Canis lupus familiaris: one gene and its partner. The protein of the gene in region 1 interacts with the protein of each later gene in a biochemical or structural test. Links are inferred from orthologs where the notes say so. Each region holds a gene or a part of one and is shown on either strand. Other genes may lie near its edges. The genes, in order: TNKS2 and LNPEP.

The links.
Region 2: the proteins of TNKS2 (region 1) and LNPEP form a complex in vitro, tested with the Homo sapiens proteins (4 studies listed by BioGRID and IntAct, with this or other methods). The link is inferred for Canis lupus familiaris from reciprocal best matches to the Homo sapiens genes TNKS2 and LNPEP.

Annotation. Positions count from the first base shown.
Region 1 is NC_049249.1:6,462,227-6,466,793, reverse strand, and holds the start of TNKS2 (poly [ADP-ribose] polymerase tankyrase-2), read right to left. Parts: upstream 3,001-4,567; 5' UTR 2,986-3,000; coding exon 2,787-2,985; intron 1-2,786. UniProt on the Homo sapiens protein: Poly-ADP-ribosyltransferase involved in various processes such as Wnt signaling pathway, telomere length and vesicle trafficking.
Region 2 is NC_049224.1:12,803,040-12,807,418, forward strand, and holds the start of LNPEP (leucyl-cystinyl aminopeptidase), read right to left. Parts: upstream 3,064-4,379; 5' UTR 3,018-3,063; coding exon 2,966-3,017; intron 1-2,965. UniProt on the Homo sapiens protein: Release of an N-terminal amino acid, cleaves before cysteine, leucine as well as other amino acids. Degrades peptide hormones such as oxytocin, vasopressin and angiotensin III, and plays a role in maintaining homeostasis during pregnancy.

The DNA of each region.
Region 1 (4,567 bases):
CAACTCTTGATTTTGGCTCAGGTCATGATCTCAGAGTCATGAGTTCAAGCCCCACATTGGGGTCAAGCTCAGGGCAGAGTCTGCTTGAGATTCTCTCTCTTCCTCTGCCTCCCCCACACTCTGTGCTCTCTCCCTGCTCTCTAAAAAAAAAAAAAAAAAATAAATAAATAAATAAATAAATAAATAAATAAATAAATAAATGTTAAAAATGGCTTCTCAAATCATTTAGCTAGAAGAAATGCAATCTATTTTATTTTATTTTATTTTTTTTTTAATTTTTATTTATTTATGATAGTCACACACAGAGAGAGAGAGAGAGGCAGAGACACAGGCAGAGGGAGAAGCAGGCTCCATGCACTGGGAGCCCGACGTGGGACTCGATCCCGGGTCTCCAGGATCGCGCCCTGGGCCAAAGGCAGGCGATAAACCGCTGCACCACCCAGGGATCCCAAAGAAATGCAATCTATTTTAATAATAAAAAACACCAAGTTGAAGAAATGTTCCTATTTATGTTATTTTTCATTAACAGAACTTAACTCCTTGGGAGTAGACTACTGGGAGCAAATGACTATTCTTTTAATTTAAACATTTTAGATGAAAAGACAGACTAAATTTTTTCTAAACTGTTCTCTTATCATGATTCATTTCCTTGCTGCACAGATCTCTCATTCTTATTCCTTGGAAATCAAAACAGAAAGACAAAAATGTGTCCCCTCCTCCCAAAAAACCTCCAAATGTTAATTGGTTTAAAACAAACACCCACCCCCCCAAGCTTATCCTACAATGTACAAACACAAGAAACTGCTTGGTCAGGCAGTTTCACAGTCCCCACACCTACACTGAGTTTCCAATGGCATGTTTACATGCACGTTAATATGACTGACACTATCTACAGAAGATTATAAAATACATTTTCCACATATAGGAGAAAATGCAGCTGGATGAATTTATTTAAAAATTAAAATAGGTTCTCTCATTAATGAATAACTCAGACTGAATTTACAAAGCTAATTTTTTTAAGTTTCTTATATGCTTGGGTTTAAATGCAGGGCTTTTAATGCTCTTGTTTACTGTACGCCATTAGACATTTTTATTACTCTGCTTTTACACCTTGAATTATTGGTTGTATAACCTGTACCAGATAATTTGGGTAAATAGTGAGATAGGTTAGTTCCCAAAACAAATTTTCCATTTGTCTGAGCCACATCAAATCTATGTAAAAAAGTGCTTTGAAATGTTGGGACAGAACTAAGGGTAGGATGGTGGAGGAGGAACAAGGTCAATAAAAAGCTAATCCCATAACCTCTAAATATTACTATTTTCAGATGTGAACTCATTAATACACCAAATTCTTGAAAGGTAGCAACTAAGATCTTGCTTCGCTATTTTTATCCCACAGATCAAGTGAACAGAATCTAAGTAACACTACCCTTTGGATTACTTATCAGTTATGATAGTTTGCCAAATCAGTTGTTTAAATGTTGATTACACGGCTAAACAGGACAATCCAAAATAGCTGAGAAAAGACAGCACTGATCACCAAAATTTTAAGCAAAATGGCAAACAGGTGAGATTTGACTTCAGTGTTTTTCTCCTTTCCCTTTCTGCTACCCACAGGCTGTTTCTAGCTATCTCACCCAACTTCCCTCTTAAAAAGGCTCCCCAACAGGAACCTGACAAAATTGTAACTGATAAAGCATACCTTCTAGTATTCAGATTTTAAAATAAGGACAAATTAAAGCAAACAAATCAAGTAAAAGCAATGTCTGTGAACAAGGAAATTCTTCTTACACTTTCTCTCATTGTGCCTACTCCAAAAGACGGGTATCATTTTACATTTCGAAATTTTACATTTTCGAAAAACTATTTTAAATAATCATGTAATACAAAATGAAAAAAACAAGATTATTACAAGCATGAGAACCTACTCCCATTTTCAATCAGGATATAGTTAGAATCTCTTCTCCAAGTGAGAAGTATAAATGCTTTATGGAAATATACGGTCTCACCCCAGTTCTTCTAGATTCTTCAATTAAACTTAATACCTTTATATCACAAAGTCAATCTAGTAAATATTAAAGGAAAAGTAATTCAAACGATCTAAATCTCAGAATAAGGCGAGGTTGGCCCCAACTTTAATTCTAGGTCTAAGCTAAAGTACCTGCACTACCTTTTCCTCTCATCCTCCACTAGTATATGTAGCAGCCACGACCCACCCACACCCACCTTAAGTTAGATCTCAGTTCGCCCAAACGACTACTTGCAGTTCTAGACTCTCCAAAATCTTGCTAATGACTGACTACCCCGCTAAACCCGTTAACAATAATGTGTCAATGGCTAATTAAGCGACCCCGTAAATTACATCCTTGCATTTTACAAAGGCCTTTAAGCCCTTAACCCAAAGGACTGACAACAGTCATAGTGGAACTTGCAAGAAAGACAGATTTTGGAGATAATTGGCCTTTCAAATCACAAGGTCTAAGTTCCCTACTCTTTCTTGTGTATGGAAGCCTTTCTAGAGTAGCAAGACCGGAAGTTGGTACAGGTATTGTTGATACTAAACAAAGCAAAAAAAAAAAAAAAAAAAAAATTCCAGTTGAGTGGGGCACGCTCGCCCCCTAGCCCCATGTCCTCGCTCAGTCCCCAATCAACGAGAGCGGGGTGACCAGCAGCGGAGTCCGAGGCGGAAAGACGGGGGCAGAGTGTTTGGTTTCAGGCCCGAGAGCCGGGACGGGCAGGTGGGGTGCAGGGCGAGGCGAGGCGAGGCCGGCGTGGGTCCCGGTTACCTGCGGCGAAGTGGAGCGGGGTGGATTTCCTGCCAGCCGTGTCGCGGCTGTTCACCTTCTCCGGGGTCACTAGTCTCTTGACTCGCTCCACGTCCCCGTTGCGGCACGCCTCGAACAGCTCGCGGGCGCCTGGCTCCACGGCCTCGGCCGCCGCGCCAGCGCAGGCCGCGCCCCCGCCGGCGCAGCGGCGGCCCGACATGATCCTGGCCGCCGCCGCCGCCAGCAGCAGCGCGAGCAACCGCAGCAGGAGCCCCGGCCCTGCGAGCAAGAGGGCGAGGCCCCCTGAAGGAGACGCGCACAGGGCCCGGGCCGCTCGGCTCCCTGCTGTCACCGGGCTCGGCGCAGTCCCATGGCCGCGCCACCGCCCGGCCCTCGCTCGGCCCCGCGACCCCCGGCTGCCCCTCGGTGGCGGAGGCAGCGCGACCCCGCCGTTCCAGCCCTGAAGCGACGCGGCAGCGGAAGCTGGCAAGGCCCCTCCTGCCAGGTCCGCGGAGCCCTGGGAGGGCCGGTGACGTGGTGCCGCGCGTGCGCAGCGATCGGAGACCGGCCCGACCGATTTCCGCGCCGAGGCCGCGCGGAGGGGTTTGTGGGTAATGTGAGGCGAGGCTCTTCGGCGGCTGGAGGAGAAGGGGCTTCGTCCCACCGCCATCTTTGCAGTGGGTCAGGCTGAAGCCGGGTGGTTTTGTTTCGCTTTGTTAAGGCATGGATTTCCCGAGCTGAAATTCCTTACTGTTATTACCCTGAAAAGAGCCTTTGGAAGTGTCCCCGCGATCTGGCGTATTGCTTTGGAATTCTTAGTGTGGAAATCCATTTTTCAACTTTCACAATCCCTTTCCTGGGGGGGGGGGGGGGGGGGGGGGGGGGGTGGATTTCTTTCCCGTTTTCTTTCCTGTCTTTTCCCTTGCCTTGCAACTGCTATTCTGTTGTTTCTTGTGAGTCACATGTGGAAAACGAATGGGTTGTTTCCCACTTCGTGGGAAGTTTGGATGAGCTGCCCCAAGTTCATTTAAAGTAAGTTAGGAAAGTGATGAAAGTGTGTTCCGATTCTAAATTAATTGAGAGCGATGGTTCTGATACGTTACTCTTCCACAGTCATTAGCTCAGAACTTACGAACGGGCCCACGAGTGTATCAACATTGTACTGACTTGGCTGAGGTGTGGACACAGTGGGCATACGCATCGCAGACAAAGGTTAATAGTTTGCATTGATATATATTAATTTATATAATACTTACATATAATATACGAATTATATATAATTACATATTAATATATGTACACATATACACATATATAGGTCTGCATACGTATATAGACCATCAAAGAAAAGCGCACAGTTAATTGTCACGCTTAATGTAGTGATCCAGCTATTCCCTACTCCAGGCCCTGGCCTCAGGAAACTGCGTGAAAGTGAGGTATGGTTACATGAAATGACACATGTTGACCTTTGGCATGCTGACAAGCATTTTTCCCTTGTTGTCTTTAACTTCTTAACCTGTTTTTCAGGAAATTCAGTTTCTGTTTGGGAATGTTGACTCACTACTGTGCAAGAAGGTAGAGGATGTATGCTTTTAGGAACATTTTTGTACATATATAAGTTATATAATTATACATACATAATTATATATGTCGTGTAAATTTAAATTATATTGCATAAACTGAATATCCATGGGTGCATCTAACTAAGAACTAAAGCACCAATACTATTACATCTATCTTTTTCTTTTCCATTTCATCCATTTGCCAAATGTATTTCCAATTTTATTATTCCCTGTATACCA
Region 2 (4,379 bases), on another chromosome or scaffold:
AAGATGAAATCACAATTTTATACTGCTTTACAACCCATGAATTGTCTAATTTGTTTTCCAGATTTCCCATTTTGGAAGTTGGGGAATATTTTCAATTGGATGGCAATCTGAAAACAAAAACAAAGACAGTTTGTAAGACAGGTAAATTCCCCTTGTTTGGTTATAAACCAGGCTGTAGTACCAAAGTGTTTCCTGGGAGCTTTGTTCATAAGAAAAAAAAATGATGAACCATTTAAATTATGTTTTCAGTTCTGGGACTTCAAAATATCAATGCTTTTCCACCCTCCAGATACCACAAACTAAAAAGCATGGGGGGAGGGGGTGGAATATATATATATATATAGTTATAGTTATAGTTATATGTCTACTATATATGTATTCATAGAAGAAAAAAAAAGTCCTCCATTAATATGCTTCCAAATCCTGAATTTGCCTACCTAATTAAGTTCTCAAAAGCTCCCTTCTGGTGAATACTTCTAGTATCCTCAAAATGAAGTCCCACATTCCTGGCCCTAACCTTAGAACTCCATCATCAGATTCTAAGAGTGAGCCCTGGCATTTACATTCCTTAACATGAATTTAAATTCTTCTGAAATACTCTAATCCTGCATGTAAATGAGAAGAAATAAAGAGAAATAAAGCAACACAGTCATCAAATAACTACCTGCCATAACCTAGTACATGTATCAAAAGATCTAGAGAGTTGCCATTATTTTTTTGGGTTTTAGTGATATATAAATCACTACTTCCTAAGAAGTCATCTCTAACGGCCTAACAAGACATAATAGTTACTGCCAAATCAATCTTGAGTAACTAGTCCAGCACATCCTTCTCCCCAGAAAAGTCACCAAGAATCCAAAGCCAGACTGGATATCCAGTCTGCAGTGTAACAGTCAGCAGTCCCCTCCCAAGGGCAAGATCAAAAATAACTCCTGAGCCCAGTGGAAATTCCTGACACTGAAGTCTCTTCTTATAAACCTTTCTGGAGATAAGCATATTAAACAGGTTGAAGCAGCATGTTACCTGGACAGGTTAACATAGGATATTCATCAAATGAACCCATTATCAGCAGGCAGAGCAGGCAGAGAGCAGGGCCCAAGACAAATGGGCCACACCAGCAGCAACTTTTGATGGAAAACAGGGAAAGCACAGAAAGCCCTATTGGAATAGATGAGTACTGAAAGTCACAAAACCACAAAACAGAAACTAAATGTGCCTCTTCTACAAATTTCCAGGTCAGAGGATGAAACTATTGACAACATTTTAATTAAAAGATAAGTGGTTCTGAATTGCCAAAACTAGTTTGTTAAGCTCTCACACCTCTCCTATAAGCAGAGATATATATGAGACAGTATAAGTGGTGAAGATTTTATTAGAAGAGAGTGAATGTGCAAAAGCCAATATCAAGCTTGATAAATCCTATAATTTTAAATTCTCTGCATAAGAAAATACTCTGCACCAAAACCCCCAGACCTAAAGGAGAAGAATTAGATGTAGATATCCTCTGTACCCAACAGAATTAAGTACAAAGATAAACATGCTTAAACAAGTCCCATTTAAAGACACTATAAAAATTCTACAGCTATCCTTCAAAACTTTTGAAATAAATAAACAGTCCATCTTAACCCAGAAAAGCACCTCAAACTGCTAGGAGCTAATTTTTGGCTGACTTTAGGTGTTGTAGTTTCTATTTCCTTTTAAAGGACACTTAGATAAGCCTTCAAGGAGTGATTAACACATTAACTAAAATGCACTGTCAAACTGTTCTCCAGCAGATTGTGAAAATCTGGAAGATAGGAAAAGGATTAAAAAACCAATTTCCTACATAGACGCTGAAGCGTTTGTCTGTCTTTGTTCACTTCTCTGGGGCTTTTCCACTGCCCTCGCCAATGTGACGATTTGCAAATATTCACATACAGAGGACCATATTTTAAGAGGGGAGAAAAGACTCCAGTTGGAAGATGTGAGAATGTACTTTAATTCTATAGGCACGGGTCTACCAAATCGGCTAGCACCAGTCTTGACCAAATGGGTGACTCAGCCTTGTTGCGAGGGAATTTTTTTTTTAAGTCGAAAGTTCACATTTAAAAAGTCCTGTGAACATGGAAGCTCCAAATATTCTATCTCAGACAAAGAAAAAGGCTTGGAATATTAATTTGAAAGGACATAATGATTTATATGAAACGTATTTGACACTAAAATACTGGATGCTCTCTAAGTTTACTTCTGGTTCCAGTATTCCTTAATTCTCTTAGTGACTTTACCTGACTATTCTTAGAGCCTTAGTTATTACAAACAGAACTTGACTGAGGGATCCATCCCTGGGTGGCTCAGCTGTTGGGTGCCGCCTTCAGCCCAGGGCCTGACCCTGGAGTCCCAGGATCCAGTCCCAGGTCGGGCTCCCTGCATGGAGCCTGCTTCTCCCTCTGCCTGTTTCTCTGCTTCTCTCTCTCTCTCTCTCTGTCTCTCATGAATAAATAAATAAAATCTCTAAAAAATAATTTAATAAAAGAACCTGATTGAGAAAGAAAATGCAGAATTAAAGTTGCCACCGTTGAGCCTAATGAGACAGTGCAGACAGGAAGATGGCAGTAGAAGAAAGCACCCTGAACTAGGGACAGGGAGATTAGGATAATTCGCAGTCCCATGTATGGAACAGGCTTACGGAAAGTCCGGCTAGGGCCTGGGATGTCCAGTGGACAATGCCTCTACCTCTGGGGTGGCCACCGACCCTAAACAGGAGTAGGCGTTCGCATCTACTAATGCGACAAACTGTCCACCTGGAGCAACCAACCACCACCCGCAAGAAAAACACATGTCAGCCACAGACTGAATCGTCTTAATTTTTAGGGTCAATTCTCCCTCGCCGGCATCCTTCCTACTTTCTGGTCCCCCAAAAGGAAACCCCATATACTCCAAGTCCACCAAAACAAAAACAAAAACAAAAACGGTGAAGACATCTCACCCCTGTATTGTGACTCTAGCACTTGGGGGGTGGGGGGCCAAAGCAAAGCCATGGGTTTTGCCCGGGGTGGGATCCACCGTGTGCGTCCGCTCCGTGAGGAGCTGGGGCTGTTTGCAGGGCATCCTGCAAGGCTCCGGCTCTGGCCTCAAGTCACATTGTGAGATCAGCATGACGGACCCCCTGGTATTTAAGAGGTCTTCCTCGGGAGCCCCCGAAAGGGAGCTGGAACGCCCTGCAGGGATGGGTGGATGCGTGGATGGATGGGTGGGGGGGCCTCCCCCGGGACCCACGGCAGGGGCCCGGGGCGGGCGGGCAGCTCCGCGGCAGCGCAGGACCCAGCAGCATCCCTCCTCTGCGCGGGTCCCCCCCACCCCGCCCCGCAGCAGCCGCCGCCGAAGGACCCCAGCTCCCTGCACCGCAGAAGTTTGCAGGCAGCGGCCGCGGTCCGACCCTCCCGGCCCTAGAGCCGCGGCGCGCGCCGCCTCCGCGGGGGCGAACCCGGGAGGCCAACTTTCCCCTCCGCCGCGGGAAGCCGCCCGAACTTTGCGGCGCGCCCACCCGGCCCCGGCGCCCGCGCCCGGCGGCCCCGACCCGCAGCCAGCCCCGGGCCCGGGGGCCTCCGCCGCCCCTGCCGCCCCCGCCCCCGCCGCGGCCCCCGCGTGTCACCGCGGCCAGCCGCCCTCCGCGCCCCGGGGCGCCCGGCCCCGCCGCCCGCCGCCCGCCGCCGCCCGCTCACCGTTAGTAAAGGGATCCATCTCCCCGCCCGCCGCCGCCGCTCCTCGCCGCCCGGGCGCCCCGGCTTCCTCCTCCAAGCCCCGAAGCGGCGCTGCCGACTGAGCATGCCCAGCGCGGCCGCCGAGGGCTGCCGGGGAGGTGCCGCGAGGGGCGGCGCCGCTCCGCCGCTCTGAGGCTCCGCCGCTCCAGGTTTTTGCAACAGCCGCAGAGAGAGCGCGAGGGAGGCCGGAGGGGAAAACACCGCACGGCCCCCGGGGGCCGGCGCCTGGGACAGGCGGGGGGCGGGGCCTGACGGGGGCGGGGCCTGACGGGGGCGGGGCTTGCGGCAGCCCCGCCCCCGGGAGCCTCGCAGCCGCCGCGGGGCCGCAGGACCGGGGCCGTAGTCAGTCACTCAGCCAAGGAGACGGCCTCGGGGGCCTGGGCGCCGGGAGCTCGGCACTGCGCCCCCCACAAAAAAAACAACGACCATTGCCCCGTGCGGGGAGGGGGGCATCCCGGAGACAGACACTAAGCAAACACAGAGGCGCACAAGACCGAGAGAACTGTCCCGCCGAGCCTTAAATCGGGGCGGTGGCTGCAGAGAGCGCGCGGCTGTCCCGACGGCCGGGCGGCGCCCCGAGGCCGCACCTGGAGGCGGGGCGGGCGCCCGCGGGCCAAGGTCGCTGCCCAGACTTCGAGG